Nothobranchius furzeri: one gene and its partners. The protein of the gene in region 2 interacts with the protein of the main gene of each other region in a biochemical or structural test. Links are inferred from orthologs where the notes say so. Each region holds a gene or a part of one and is shown on either strand. Other genes may lie near its edges.

Evidence for each region. The genes of interacting proteins can lie anywhere in the genome.
Region 1: the proteins of siah1 (region 2) and POU domain class 2-associating factor 1 form a complex in vitro, tested with the Homo sapiens proteins (2 studies listed by BioGRID). The link is inferred for Nothobranchius furzeri from reciprocal best matches to the Homo sapiens genes SIAH1 and POU2AF1.
Region 3: of the proteins of siah1 (region 2) and hipk2, one has a biochemical effect on the other in vitro, tested with the Homo sapiens proteins (4 studies listed by BioGRID, with this or other methods). The link is inferred for Nothobranchius furzeri from reciprocal best matches to the Homo sapiens genes SIAH1 and HIPK2.

Annotation. Positions count from the first base shown.
Region 1 is NC_091753.1:21,185,686-21,190,576, forward strand, and holds part of POU domain class 2-associating factor 1, read left to right. Parts: intron 1-2,604; coding exon 2,605-2,644; intron 2,645-2,717; coding exon 2,718-3,007; intron 3,008-4,891. UniProt on the Homo sapiens protein: Transcriptional coactivator that specifically associates with either POU2F1/OCT1 or POU2F2/OCT2. It boosts the POU2F1/OCT1 mediated promoter activity and to a lesser extent, that of POU2F2/OCT2. It recognizes the POU domains of POU2F1/OCT1 and POU2F2/OCT2.
Region 2 is NC_091744.1:81,653,717-81,659,192, forward strand, and holds the start of siah1 (E3 ubiquitin-protein ligase Siah1), read left to right. Parts: upstream 1-1,660; 5' UTR 1,661-1,890; coding exon 1,891-2,008; intron 2,009-4,189; coding exon 4,190-4,246; intron 4,247-5,476. UniProt on the Homo sapiens protein: E3 ubiquitin-protein ligase that mediates ubiquitination and subsequent proteasomal degradation of target proteins.
Region 3 is NC_091744.1:79,009,752-79,014,642, reverse strand, and holds part of hipk2 (homeodomain-interacting protein kinase 2), read right to left. Parts: intron 4,515-4,891; coding exon 4,384-4,514; intron 3,751-4,383; coding exon 3,568-3,750; intron 3,423-3,567; coding exon 3,099-3,422; intron 1-3,098.

The DNA of each region.
Region 1 (4,891 bases), on a different chromosome or scaffold from region 2:
AATGTCAGGATGTGTAACCAAACATGTATATTGACAATTTAAAGAGAACAGAAAATAAAAGTGAACACTTCTGCAGTTAAAATTGGTCCTCAGTGCTGACTAGGCTAAACAAATGTTGTTTTTCAAACTCTAAAAAAAGACCTCTAAGTATGCCCTCATTGACCCCTCTCGAGATAAATATCATAGAGGTGGTCCACACACACAAATACCTTGGTGTCTGGCTCCGGCTCCCTCTCCTTCAAGCCCCACATAGATAGTCTTGTGAAGAAACTCAAACTCAGACTGGGTTTCTTTTTTTTTTCAAATAAACAGTTTATCTTTTGAGGCAAAATAAATAAATAAATAAATAAATAAACCTAGTTACTGCAACATTTTTGTCCATTCTGGATTATGGAGACCTTTATATGAATGCCTCAGCACAGTTTCTTGGTAAGATTGATGTGGGTTATTGTGCCTCGCTGAGGTTTATTACTAACCATAGACCACTGACCCATCATTATGAACTGTATTCTCGAGTGGGATGGCCTTCTCTATCAACCAGGAGGTTGGGACATTGGTCACCTTCATTAACCCTTTAGGCGCCATAGTATTTTCACCCCCCGGGGCTGAATCAATCACCAGCGGAGTTTTCACCGGCCCGGTTTTCAGAAGTTTGAGTTCAGCTCATAAGAAATGGGAGTGAAAACAAAAGTGTTTTGTTTGTATTTATATTTTTTTCAGTGTATGTGGTGCTTGACGAAGAGGGAGTCATCAAGCCAGACAACAATGTATTTGTATGTGTGGACCACCTCTATGATATTAACCTAAAGAGTCACTGAGGGCATACTTAGAGGTCTTTTCTTGGACTTTATAAATAACAATAATAGTAGTTAATAGTCGTTCATTTCATTCATCAATATAATAAAACTATATGTTAGTTAATTGATGTTCGTGATTTGCTGCTAATACCAAAGCTAAGAGCATCAAATGATTTTTGGGCTTGTATTAAATGAATTGTGAATTTCTCTAACACTTTGTTCTCACCACATTCTTGGGGCTGAACCTCTTTCTTGTCTGTTTTTTGACAGTTATTTCCTCAGAGATCTTCACTTGAGCCTCTTGTGAAGTGTGACATGTCCTGGCCAGTACAAACTCTGGTCTCTTATCTCCCAGAGTAAAAAACTAACAGTTTCTCAATTCTAGTGGAGTATTTGAAAGCCTACAGTCAAACCTCATTTATGTTTTCATTCCATCAATCTGAAGTGTCCTTTCACGCACAAAGGAAATGCACTCATTCTCAGTGCACATCCAGATGTGTTTAGGGAGCACGAAGAGTCTCATGTCTCAGTTCAACCAGTTTACAGACAAATCTGATTAGCATGTTCGGATACTTAACCGCAACAATTATGGCTTTTTTTTTTGCTTTGATAAGTTCAATCACCCCTATCCCCTATTCCCCCACAAGCACACACACTCCACAGATCTAGTGAATGGGTTGTACATTCACACATATCTCACAAAACAGCTGCTCACAAAAGAGCTCCAACTTCCCTCAGATCTCAAGTAAAAGTGATGATTGAGAAGTTAAGCAACCTGTCTTTCCTGTACTGGCGTGGTGCTTTAACCCTTCACCTCCTGTCAAAGCTGTAGTTTTAACCTCTCTTCTTCTAACATCAGTCAGGTGCCTGACACCACATACCCCCCCCCCCCCCCCCCCCCGGTCTGTGAACATACCTGGCAAGGGGGACATGTTTTATGGCAACTGTTTTCAGTCAGTCTCAAAAATAGACAATTGTCATTTAAAAATGCAAAGAAAGAGAGGGAGTGAATAGGAAAGAGGGAAAGCAGTGGATCCCAGGGAGGGCGGAATAAGTAGAAAGAGCAGAATAAGGAGGGGGTGGTGATGAAGATCACTCAAAAGTCAGCTTGAACAGGTGAGTTTTCAGCTGCTTTTTAACAATTGTAATTAAAAACCATGAGCTGGACTAGTTTGTTATAATATGTGTGAACTGAACTTTGAACTAGTTCATTTGTAAAACAAACTTTCCCAACACTACAAGCTTCAGAAGTGGGAGCAGTTGATGCTTTTTTGCTTTGTCTTGTTTCTGCTATCTAATAAATCAAACAGAATGCTTCTGAGAACAGTTAATCTACCTGTGACTGCAGACTGACCTTATGCTGCTTTCAAGAAACACATCAGTTTACAAACTTGATCAGGTTACAGCTTGTTGAGAATCAAAGGCTGAGGAAGACATGAATCCACTGTGGTCTTTTTGGAATGGTTAAATACCAAATGTTTACATTTACAAACCTCCAGATGATCTTCGGTCAGTTCCATGTCAGCAGAGACCAAATGATGAAATAATTTTACACAGCGGTCTGTTTTTGAACATTAAACATATTTTGCTTTTGTGCAAACGTCACAAACTCAACTATGATTTCAGCGGTTGGATGTAGACATTAACAGAGGCTTGTGTCTATTGCTGGATTTGCATTAGAGCTAATGGGACACGAGCCACTTATAAACTGTCAGGCTGTAATTACAAACTCAAATATGCTGCTTACACCCGGTCATTAAAGGTCATTACACCTGGCTGTTGTTAAAGTAATCTGTCTTTTTGTTAGGATGTGGAGGCTCATAACAATCAGTCATCATTTACACAAGGTAAGTGTCTAACATTTATTAAACATCAACTGAAAGGAAGAAGGTTTTCTATGCGTCACTGTTTTATACCCAGGAAGTTTTGGCTCTGATGCTGCAGCTGGTTCCTCAGCTGAGCTGGCTGCAGCTGGTGATGAAGGGCTGCTGTGTGCTGGGTGGAAAACAATGTCCTCTGTCACCAATGCTGCTCCGCAACCTGCTGTCATGGCCTGGTCTCCTTCTGACTACAACCAGCAGGACCCCACTGCTCAGACTCTGGCCTACCCTGCTGCCCCAGCCCTTGCTGCTGATGTGTACATGCAGACACTGTGCCCCAGCTACACCATGCTAACCTACACTCACACACCACTGCTGACTAACTTTGGGGTGAGTAGGAGATCCTAATGGTAACCTAAAATCAGATTTAGAACCAAAGATAAGACATTATGATAAATATTTTGAATAAAGGCAACGTATTATGAACATCTCCCTTTTTGACTCTATACACCTCCGGACATAATTAAAAACCAGGTGCTTCTACAAGCCATTTGAAAATATCCCTTTTTGTGACATCACAATAAGGGAACTTAGCATAGAACAAAGGAGGCCCCTGCACTAAGAAGTTTTCTGAGCCCCTCCTAAAGTTCTTCACCTCATGGCAGCAACTCAGGATGTGGATTAGCGTGGCCAGCAACAGCCTGTTTACATAAAAATGACAGAGCCCGGAAATGGCTGATTCTGAAAATGTCTAGAATAGAGCTGCTGAGATTGTGCAAAGACCATAAAACTATAAACAGATATAGTTGATCTACAGCAGTGGAGTTTAGCTGTGTTCAGTGGATATACAGAGCCAGATGAGTCAACTCGACTAAATAAATGTCTGAAAGTAGCCGCTAGTGTTGCATTTTAACCTTTTTATTTTGGTGAAACTCAAAAAATCTGAATCTGGTGCAAACTCAATTTATTTCAGTAATTCCACTTAAAAAGGTGTGTTCCAACTAAAAGGCGTTCACACTCCTGAGCCTCCCTGGTAAGGACTATTCCAGGGTTCTGGAGAGGAGGGTCTGTCAGTTTGTTGAAGCTTGGGGTCAGAAGGAGCAATGTAGTTTTTGTCCTGGCCGGGGAACACCGGACCAGCTCTATACTCTTGAGGGGTTTCTGGAGGGTGCATGGCAGAGGCGTGGACTCGAGTCTTTATTTGAATGACTTCTGACGTGACTTGATAAAATGTATAAAGACTTACGACTTGACTTGGACTTGAACGCCAATGACTTGCGACTTGAATCGATTTACATCTGTTGACTTGATGATGACTTGAGCATATTTGATATTTTAGCACAAAAGTGACTCGACATGGACAAAAATCATAAATCATTCTTGGCTCTGGGTTTGATCTTGTTCTGCTAAATGCAGCAGCACTTTGTTTATAAACAGTTTCAGTTGCACTTTCTGCTTGTTGGAGCAAATAAATGAAGCTTTAAGAAGCTTTATTTCTGGAATTTATTTATTTATTATCATTGCCATTAAATTAAAGTTGACAAATGACTTGATTATGACTTGAAAATTCAAAGTTAAAGACTTAGGCTTGACTTGGACTTCCACATCTTTGACTTTGGACTCGACTTGGACTTGGTTGTCTTTGACTTGGACGTGAATCGAGACTTCACTGGAAAGACTTGTGACTTACTTGTGACTTACTTGTGACTTGCAAAGCAGTGACTTGGTCACACCTCTGGTGCATGGGAGTTCGCCCAACCAACCAATCTATATGTGTTTTGTGGATTGGAGAAGGGGGGTACTTTGAGAGTATAGAGTACCAAGCCACTTGATACAGGCAGTTAGGCCCCTGTATGACAGGTGTTAGAGCTTGGTTAGGCAGTAAGTCAATCTCATTTCCAGTGAGAGTTGTACTCCATCAAGGTTGCCCTTTGTCATCAATTCTGTTCATAACTTTTAAGGACAGGATTTCAGGACATTATATCAAAATATAAAATACTTTTAACAATGCTACTGTTAACCCAGATAATTTGAATTTACTTAATAAAGCACAGTGGCAGGCAGGTGAAGAGTGAAGGTGGAAACTAACACAAACACTGAATGCCTCACACACCCATGGTTGCCCAAAGCCAAGTCCAGAGGACTTGGCATAAACCACCAAATCGTTATTAATAGAGGAACATCACAGCGTGGTCATTCCCTTGACCAAACTCTTCATTTATGGTGCCAACATGGCACAACAAGTAACACCACATTTGCAACACTGAACAAAGT
Region 2 (5,476 bases):
ATGGTACAAAATCAGCTTATGAATGAGTCTAGTTCTAAAGCGGATTAGAAGGTTGTAACTAGAGCTGCAACGATACCACTTTTTTCCAAACCGATACGATACTTGGATCTGAGTACTCGCCGATACCGATTACCGATACCGATACTTCTACCACACAAAAAATGCAATGATTTGGAATACAGATTTTATTTTCTTCTCTGCTTTCAACAGGAAAAGACTGTGAGGTAGATGAAAAGTAAAATATATGAATGGAAATCATAACAAAACTAAAATATTAGGTGAACAGAAATGACAAGTTACAGTGAAGCCATTTTCAAGCAACTGCATTGGTATCGGTTAACTTTTACCGATACCGGTATCGTATCGGTGCATCCCCAGTTGTAACGGGACGTTTTGATTTTCACCTGTCAGGTGGATCCGTTTAGAGATGTGCTCACCAGGTATGCTGGCAGGTGTAACTACCCGCTGGCGTTGAAAGTAAAATCACAATCTCAGAAACACTGAAGGACTTTTGGGAGGCAGGTGTTGTGTTGAAAATGCATCCCTGGCATTAAAACCAACTTAGTGGAACATGTTACCACAACCTGGTGGTTCTGACGCCGTGTATTTAAACGACTCTTCAAATGTTGGAAAATCACCACCCGTCTCTCATGAATGCAGACCCAGCAGGGTACAGTGGAGGATAGTCTTTAGTGTTTGTTTTCGGCTGAGCTGATGGTGACATCATGGTGTCCTGCTGTAGCTTCAGCGCTGCTGCTGGGACATATCGGTTAGTTTAGTTTGGGGATTTTACACAACATTTAAAGTTCAATCTTAAGGTGGAGACTGGGGCACACTCCCGGAGGTTTGACTAACATTTGGAATGGGAATGATTTAACCTGCGGAGCAGGAACGCTGAGGGAGAAGAAGAGTGAAACTAGGAAAGGAAAAGCAGTGAGAAAGTGAGGTTTGGTGTCAGTGAGGGCAGCTGGTGGTGCAGCCTGCAGCGAGACGGGCTGAAATCTGAGCCGTGCACAACCACAGCACTGCACGGGGTGGGGGTGAAATATGCAGGCTTTATGCTGACATAACCATGTGAGAGGCACAGAGAGGGAAGGGAAAATCAGGCCCGTTAAATCACAGGTCTGATGGGAAAATAGGGAAGAGTGTGTTTGGACTGACATCTGATGGCTGCTGGGCTCTTTTACACAAACACGCGACACCTACGTCACTACAGGAGACGACACCCCATGAACACCGGTGGAGGGAGGGAGGGAGATTTCGGACTTTCCCTTCTTTTCCTCTTCAGACTCTGGAAACACTGGGCTCTGATTATTCCTGTCGTAACGCCGTGAAGGAATTGTTTTTTGCTGCTGGAACCATGTCTTGCTCTCATTTTGGTTGCAAACCAGCGTTTTGGAAAAGCGCTTTGTAGGAGAGTTTTTTTTTACACACTTCTGCAGTTTGGTGCCAAATAGTTCCTGAAAACCTGGCCCAAGGAGCCACGGAGGTGGAACGCACACATGGATTATTGTCCAGTGTTGGAGGAAGCGTGGTGGGATGAAGCTTTTTACTGAAACGGAAAACGACGCTGTGTCGGCGGTTCCACGTCCTTTTGTGTAATCGTCCTAGTCTTTGTTTTTTCGTTTGGCTCGTACCCGACAGACAGACTGCTGCAGTTCCCACCTAATAAAGGAATTATTCATGCTCGTAGCTTATTTTCCTCCCCATCCTGTTATTTTTAGTGGGTTTGGAGGACTTGTTTCCTGTTGCGTGGACCCAGCCTTCGTCTCTTTACTACAACATATCCGAGGGGCAGGAGGAAGAAACATGATCCGATGTTTGGGGCAGCAGCAGTGTGTGGTTTCTGTGGAAAAGGTCTGGGGAATGTGGCGGGGGGGCGCTGCATAAATGTCTTTGGTCCAAGTGAAATCAAAGCCAGCGAGCGTAGCTCTACCGTCTCCACCCTGGAACTCCCTGCTCCGACTCTTCTCGTGTGTCGCCACGAGGGATGTCCACACGCCTAAAGGTGAAGGAGCCCAACCCCCGAAGTGCTTCCGTTATCTGGAACTACGCGGTTCCTTTTCCCACTCATGGATCTAATGTGGTGTTGCAGCTGTGGTCAGAGGTGGGGGAGGGAGGAGCTCACCTTCTGCTCAGCTGTTCCGCTTTAAGACAGCTTTGTGTGTGTGTGTGTGTGTGTGTGTGTGTGTGTGTGTCAGTCAGTCATGATTATGTTGAAGCTCCGCTTGTTTTCATCTCTGCTCTAAATGATGATTTTATTCTGTAATAGAACATCCGGTTTTGTTATCAGGGCTTCAAACTATATGATTATTAATCTAGAATATAATCTACAGAACCATAGACGATCCTGCAGAACCGTCCTCCCCAGCAGTGACTCTCAGTAATCCTGGCCTATTTGATCCGGTTCTCATGCGGTTCTGGAAGAGTTCTGATCCAGTTTGCACAGATGCATTTTGGCACAGCTTCTCTGACTGGACCGCTGCAGCACCTTGGTTCTGTTGTAGGTCTGCTGTGTTTGGGGTCGTTGTCCAGTTTTATGAGCCGGTTAGGTCCAAACTTCAGATGAGGTTCTGGTGGACCACAGAACTGGCCCAAACCACCAGCCGTCCTCCACCAGCTGACATCAGCTGTTAGATTTTCTCTAGACGTGCTGCTGTGCATTATGGGTAAACGTCCTCCCTTCAGTCTCCTCAGTCTGAAGGACTTGATGCCCAACGTCTCTGCAGTCTTGATTCTCGTGTGGATTAAACTGAAGTAGCAAAGTTAATTTCCTGTTATTTATGAAGAATTGGTGCGACTTTAGGTGTGATTGGAATCAGACCTGATGGTGTAACAATGATGCAACAATCCCCCCCCCCCCCCATCACATGTTGGTGTAGAAAATGGGGAAAGTTCCAGTGTGAACACACCTTTACCTGTCTGTGTTTTTGGGTCAGGTTTGTTGTTGAATCCTGACATGACATGATCATAAAATCCCGGAGACAATCGCTGAGTTAAGAAAGCAAAAGGATGGACAGACGAGTAGACGTCAAACTCAGTGGTTATTCTTTTGTCCTTTTTAAGAGGATGAACTGTTCGGAACTGAACTCAAAGGAGAATCAGAATGAAAAAATCTGATTCCAATTTTAATTGTCCCACAGAAATTTTTTGTGCCATTGACTCCCATTCAAACATAAAAAAAAGCTAAATATCACCATACATTTTTTAAAATTTCACTCCAACTGTGTTCCTGCAGCCACCAGGGACTGAAGTTATTTTTACTTTTTTCCTCTAAATGGCATGGCACTGATTTATAACACACTCTAGTAATGTATGTTTTGGAGATTGTGTGGCCAAAAATATTTTTATGCTCATTTGTGACTAGAGCCCTCACAATTCACCCCCAAAAAGTCCTCTGGACATGACACACAAATGATTTAGCATTTTATATTTTTATAATGGTTTTTTTTTTTTTTTTTGACAAAACATGGCACTAAAGGGGTTAAATCTCAAAAACACCCCCCCCCCCCACCCATTTTCTGAACCTGCTTTGTCCACGCAGGGGGGTGGGGGTGTTGGTGCCTATCTCCAGCGGTCAACGGGCACAGGGTACACCCTGGACAGAGAGCCAGTCCATCGCAGATCTCAAAAACACTCAGATATTTTACTTTGTTTGGTGAGGACTGAAGCTAAGGAAAGAATCTGTGTTAAAGATTTTTGACTTTTGAAATGTTATATAATTTTTTATTAAACATTTTGCCAAAATGCATTTTTTTTTGTGCGAGGGTACCAAGTGTAGCTTTTTTTTAAAAGGAAACTCCAAAGGTTAAAAATTAAAGAGATAAATGAAGCGTTGGGTTTGTTAAATATGAATGAAATGTGCTGGCGTCACCAGACAGCCCATTATGGACGTGTCCCTGTAATGGACGCTCCATTAGCAGCAGGTGAGTGGCTGAGAGGTTCTGAGTCTTCTGCTGTCCTCCAGCTGCTGAGCTGATTCCACACACGGGCCTTAAAGTGTCCTTGTCCAAACACTGACTTTAGTTTTAACCACATTCTTTATTTCTACATTTTATTGTCCGATTAAAAGCAGCTCCTCTTGTTTTTGCTGCAAGGATGAAACCTGAATCTGGACTCGATCAGCGCTTGAACTGAAGGGAGCAGATAGTTGAGTTTGTTTTACATTTGTGTGTTTTTGTCTTTTCAGAGGTCCCTTCATTTCAAGATCAGACGAAAGCCTTATTTGGAAATCTTATGGACGAAGGTGAGTAGCAGAGCCTCCGGGAGGTGACCCCCTCTTCTCATAACTAGTTATTGTGAATTTATCTGAGCTGCAGGTTCTCGTGCTTATAACTGATGGCTGCTGATTCATGTGAGGGAAGCTAGATTTTCTGTTTTTAAAACCCAAAATAGTTCTGATCATCAGTAAGTTACCAGTATTGATGTAATCCGTCTCATGCGTGACCCAAGTCAGCATGTGGGGAGCGTTCTAACCACAATGATCCTGAGCTATGTGGGAGTATGGAGGTTGGGTTAGGCGAGACCTCCCGCTGAGGGAGGTGTGTCGGTTCTCTGCTTTTATCTTGGCAGCATCGACTCCTCGGCACAACATGTGCCAGTGCCGTTTATTAGCGTGTAGCAGCTCGCTGCAGCCGTGTGTGCTGCCAGCTGTCGATTACAGCCGCTGTTTGAGGAGGTCAAGTCTCAAAATCCTGCAAAAAGATCTTTTCTGTCTGAAGAATGTGTTTTCTGTGTTTGTGTTGGTGGTCTGTCCGCCCACAATGCTTCTTTTAAAGCTTTGTTAGTTCAGGTCTGATATTCTTGTGTCAGACTTAAATCACAACCGTAAGTAAATCTAAATTATCTCACCAAACCGAAACCAAAAGCAGGAAGTGTGGTTCTGTTTGTCAGACGGATGAACTGATGGTCGGTAATCTGGGTTGTCGTTGTTTATGATGGTTAAAGGAGGGTTCTGGAGCCGGCCGTGACTCGGGCCTTGGCTGAGCTGAATGTTCTGAGCTAATTTAGTCCCGCTGCTGCTAGCATGCTAGTCAGCTAAGAGGTTCTAAGAATAGCTGCGTCTCAGTCACAGCTAGTGTTTGGAGTCAGGCGGAGGAATGGCGTCACGAGAGCCCCGCCTTTACCTCTGCAGCTGGTGTGAGCGTGCATGTCTACGTGCACGTGCTGTATATTTGCCTTATTTTTACCCGCTTGATCCGGTTCACTGTCACGAGGGAGTTGGCGTCCATCTCCTGCACTCATTGGGCGGAGTTACACCTGGATAGGTCACATGTTCATTAATGTGTCAAATACATGCTAACAAGGCAGGCGACCAATCCCACTCGCACCTACAGATTAAGCTAACGTGCACATTTTTGGTCTAAAGCAGGAACAGAGCATGCAGATATCTTGCAGTCGGGCGTTGAACCCGCAACCTTCTGACTGAGGCAACAGGTGTAAAACCAGCCTCACCACTTCAGCTGGGAGTGATCTG
Region 3 (4,891 bases), about 2.6 Mb from region 2:
TTGTACAGACGTTTAAAGCCATTTTAAAAAAGCTGGTCATGTTTTATTCATCCCACCGTTGGGAAATTTCTGTTACTGCACATAAAGTACATTTAACAGTGTAATGCAATAATAAACAGTCTATATTCACTGTGACAGTAGCCATTCCTCCTGATGCTGAATATTGATCAAATAGATAAAATGCATCATGCAGCTTTTCCCCTTTAGCTTTTAAAACAATACCATGTTGTCACATGCGTTTTTTTTAAATTATTTTTGTAGCCTTTAATGATACAATTATACCACGTACTACCATACCAATTTACTAGGGATGAGCGAGTACACCACTATCTGTATCTGTTCAACCATCTAAATTATCTGTATCTGTACTCGGAGTGGGCGTGGCCTAACCCGGAAGTGGGTGTAGTTTAACCGGAAGTGGGTGTGGTTTACATCAATACGTTATTTTAAGTCTGATCAGAAGTTGATATGTGTATTGTTTATGTGAAAACTATTTACAGAGCAGCCTCAGAGTTGAGATTAAATGTTTTTGATCACAATAGTAAAGGAACTATTACAAATCAAGTTTTTCAATAAAATCAGAACATTAATATTTAAGTGCATGAATTAAGAGAGAGAGAGAAGAAAAGATATTTTCTATAGCGCCTCTCAAGATAACAATGACGAGGCGCTTCACCAAAACAAAACATGTAAAATAGAAAAAAGAATTTAGAAAATGATTAAATATATATTTTAAATGAGCAAAAAATAGACAATTGTGATTAAAAAATGTAAAGAAAGAGCGAGAGTGAATAGGAAAGAGGGAGTGGATCCTGAGGAAGAGGAGAGACAGAGAGGAAAAAAACCCCGACCGGAGCGGAGGCAGTGACTGACGCAGCACGAGCCGTTTTCAGCTCTGTCTTGTCAAATGCACCACGTACGTTACGAAAAAAGTAACTTTAAATAACTTTAAAGTAACTTTAAAAAGAAGCTGACTGAAGAAAACATAGGGAGTACTGAAGAAACGTGAACAGTGAAGCAAGCACAGAGAGATCCGTTACTGTCTGTGTGTGTGTGTGTGTGTGTGTGTGTGTGTGTGTGTGTGTGTGTGTGTGTGTGTGTGTGTGTGTGTGTGTGTGTGTGTGTGTGTGTGTGTGTGTGTGTGTGTGTGTGTGTGTGTGTGTGTGTGTGGATGGACCGGACGCGGACTGAGCTGTGAGCTCCCGGCTGCAGAATTTTGTGTGTAGGGAGGGGCGGGCGCTCTATTTGACTGGCCAATCACAGAGCGTGAAGACAGTAAGTTACCCAATGAGGATTTTCCTTCAGCACGATTACAGATATTTACGAGTTTTACTCGTTTCATGCTCGTACTCGTCAAAAATGCTTTATCCGTACCGGATACTCGTCTGAAACGAGTATCCGGCTCATCCCTACAATTTACTTATCCAGCGCAGTAAAAAACCACATGTGAGCTAATAATTATCATCACAAACACTAAGCTGCAAACCTGGAAATGTTAGATTATAAGAATAGCAACATTAAAGGAGCAATAAGTAAGCATAAAGTAATAATGACATCCTGTGGTCAAATTTGGGTGCTGCAGTCCATTTTTTAAACAATCTCACTGCCATTCTGTGAGTTTAATAGCTGTTGCCAGTTATGGACCAGCAGCAGAAGATTATAGATGACAAGCAAGACCAGACAAGTCATACATATCACTTTTTGTCAGGTGTTTTCAAACGGGTTAAATTCAGAAGGATTTTAGGTGTGAATCTGTTTGCTGAGCTGTGTCATCGTCCTTGTGGTTGTTTGTTATTTTATCTTTGTCTCTGTTTTCAGAGTTTTAAGAAAGAAAGAAAAAAACTAGTGAAATGGATTCCCTGTAGGCTGTAGGGGCTCATTCTTTTAGGATGAGTCTGTTTATTGTTAGGGCGTCTTACTCCCCACTGATTTCATGTTTAATCTGCCTCCCCCAGCCCCACATGAAGACCAGGGTGGAGATTAGTTTGTGTCTCACCTGAGTAGCTAGAGGGAATGGTAAAAGTGGTAAAATAACTCAAAGAGGAAAAAAACCCCACAGGAGGACAGAAGGTTGGAAAGAAGAGACATTGGTGTTGGTTCTGTTTTAACATTTTTTCTTTCTTTTAAGGGAGGGGGTGTTACTGCTGGTGGAGTTTTAAATCCTTTGTTTGTTTTACCATCTTGCACATAGCATAGCATAGCATAGCATAGCATAGCATTGTTTATTTATATAGCACGTTTAAAATGCAGCATTGGAGCTGCCCAAAGTGCTGCACAGGCTAAAACAAAACTCAACCATTACAAGGAGCTAAAACAGAGGATACAAATCTCAATCAAAGGCAGATAAACCATGATGAATACTAAGAACACAATTAAAACAATGATACAATAAAACAAGTCACTGTCTAAAAGCCAAAGTGTAAAAGTGGGTCTTTAAACGAGATTTAAAAACCGCCAGAGATGGAGCCTGCCGAACTCCAATGGGCAATGAGTTCCATAGCTTTGGGGCAGCATGCACAAATGCTCGATCACCCCGCGATTTGAGTCTCATCCGCGGCGTGTACAGCAGCAAAAGGTCAGCCGACCTCAACATGCGCGTGGGCACATATGGAGTGAGCAGGGCAGAGAGGTAGGGAGGTGCCAGGTCATTGAGTGCTTTAAAAACAAAAGTCAGTAACTTAAACTGCACTCTGAAAAAGACAGGGAGCCAGTGAAGACATTCCAGGACAGGGGTAATGTGGCTACGTCGGTGTGTACCCGTCAAGAACCTGGCAGCAGCGTTCTGGACAACCTGCAGCCGATTCAGGACAGAGACCGGAACACCAACGACGAGGGCGTTTGCGTAGTCCAGGCGAGAGGTAATGAAGGCATGAATGACTGACTCCAAATGCCTCCGTTACGCTTTTCGTGTTACGCTCATGTGCTTTCACCATAACAGGTCGTAACACTGACCTTCCTTCCCCATGATCAAGACATATAATATCGTATTGTGATTATTTCATCGTCAAATCCTCATATGTGGCTTATTTAAGTCGAAGCTTGAAAGTTTCGTGATGCATGTCATACTACTACATCAACTCCTACAGGTCAGAACTAACCTGTTGTTTTGTTTGTGCTCATCTTCCTCATCCGTGTCGCTGCTGATGGTAATGATGCTGACAGCGGGGCTGGGTGTGTCAGGGATGATGATGGTCTGTCTGGGGACGTGGTGCTGATGCTGATGGTCGCGAGTGGTGCTGGAAGCCTGCTCCGCTTCATTAGCCCCCCACCCTCCATGGGCAAACCCCTGCGTGGGCGGGCAGTTGGACGCCGAGCCGTTTTGCAGCACGGCGCAGCGAGGGGGAGTGTTCTCCTTCACTCGCTTGGAGCGCTGCGGCGACAGCACAACCTGGGAGGACGACACCTCGTAGGCCGATACGTTCCTTCCAGAAACACAGAGATGAATGCGGATGAGTTTACAAGACTAATGATATTGACAAGGAGGATCAAGGACTTTAGAATGAAGACAAATTCCTGCTGCTGGTGGTTTTTACCAGCCAGAGTGAAGGTTTGTGGGTGTTTCATTACCTGGCGGCCATCTGGTGCTGTTTGCTCTTTTTGGAAGATGAGCTGCTATTGGTTGACGGCTGCCTCATGACATGCGCCACTCCCACATTGAGGGTCTGGTTCGTCGGGAGAGTGACGTGGCCAGTCAATAAGGCCGGCTGCTGCATAATGGGATTATAATGGCTTCCGTGGGGGTGGGAATTCCTGAAATAAAACACAGTTTTGGTTCTGACGATTCAACCGCAGTAAAACTGTCAATGCAAAGTGGAAAAAAGAAATACTACTGCACTGAGAAGAGTCAGTAACGCTGGCTGGATAAATAAAGAAGTATTTCCTGTGGTGGACGGTGGGTGGCAGCAAAGACTGAATGAAGACGAAAATGAGAAGAGAGCAAAGAGGGAGGGCAGAGGAGCTGACACCAGCAGCTGCGGAGCGATAGCTCTGCAGAGGAAGTGCGACACTTTCCCAGCGTTCTCTCTGAGGACTACAGAGCTGCCACTGGACAGGAAGGGAGGGAGAGACTGTCTCGTCAGAGACGGACAGCTCTGAATACACGGCCCCCAGTAGTCCTCCATTTGTACAGATTACTGTATATACCTGCATCCCCTTAAGTCCCTGCACATATCCTGTCCCATCTATCTGTTTATTTATCAAGTTAATTAAGTGACAGGCCAGAGGCTTTGTGACGTCTCCACGTAGACATCTAACCCAACTCACGGGGGCAAAATGGTTCCTATTTGAGCACCAGCCTTTATTTGCTCTGAATGATGAATAAGTTGTTTAAACAAATCAGAACTTATGAGAGTCAATGGCATTTGTGAAAGTCCTGTTGCTTACCTCCAGTTGGCGAGAGTCTGTGTGCCGCTCATGGAATCAGGGATGACAGTGGCGTGTTGGACTGAGGTGTGGGTGAGCTGCTGCCACGCTGGAGGCAGCAGGATCTGCTGGGTGCCGCTGGGCCAGGCCTGCTGAGGAGGGGGCACAGGGTCGGCGATAAACAGACATTTAAAGGTCAGCAGCAGCAGACGCGGAAAAACACAAAGCTGCCATGAAATAAAGCATTCAAAAAGTGTGAAAGAGGCTGCGACGTTTCCTTTCAAATGATATGAAACTGTGAACAAAGGGAGCTGGTTGAGTCTAGCCCATTTGTAGGCGAGGGAGTAAACCTAGCCAAAAATATCATACCTGTTTCAAGGAGACATCTGTCAGGAGAAGAGAGACGGCCTGGATTTGATGTTACAACACCTTTTTTGTGTGTGCCTGCGTGCATGTGTGTGTGTGTGTGTGTGTGTGTGTGTGTGTGTGAGACTACATCTTTGACTTGTGTCAAATCAACCTAATTAAA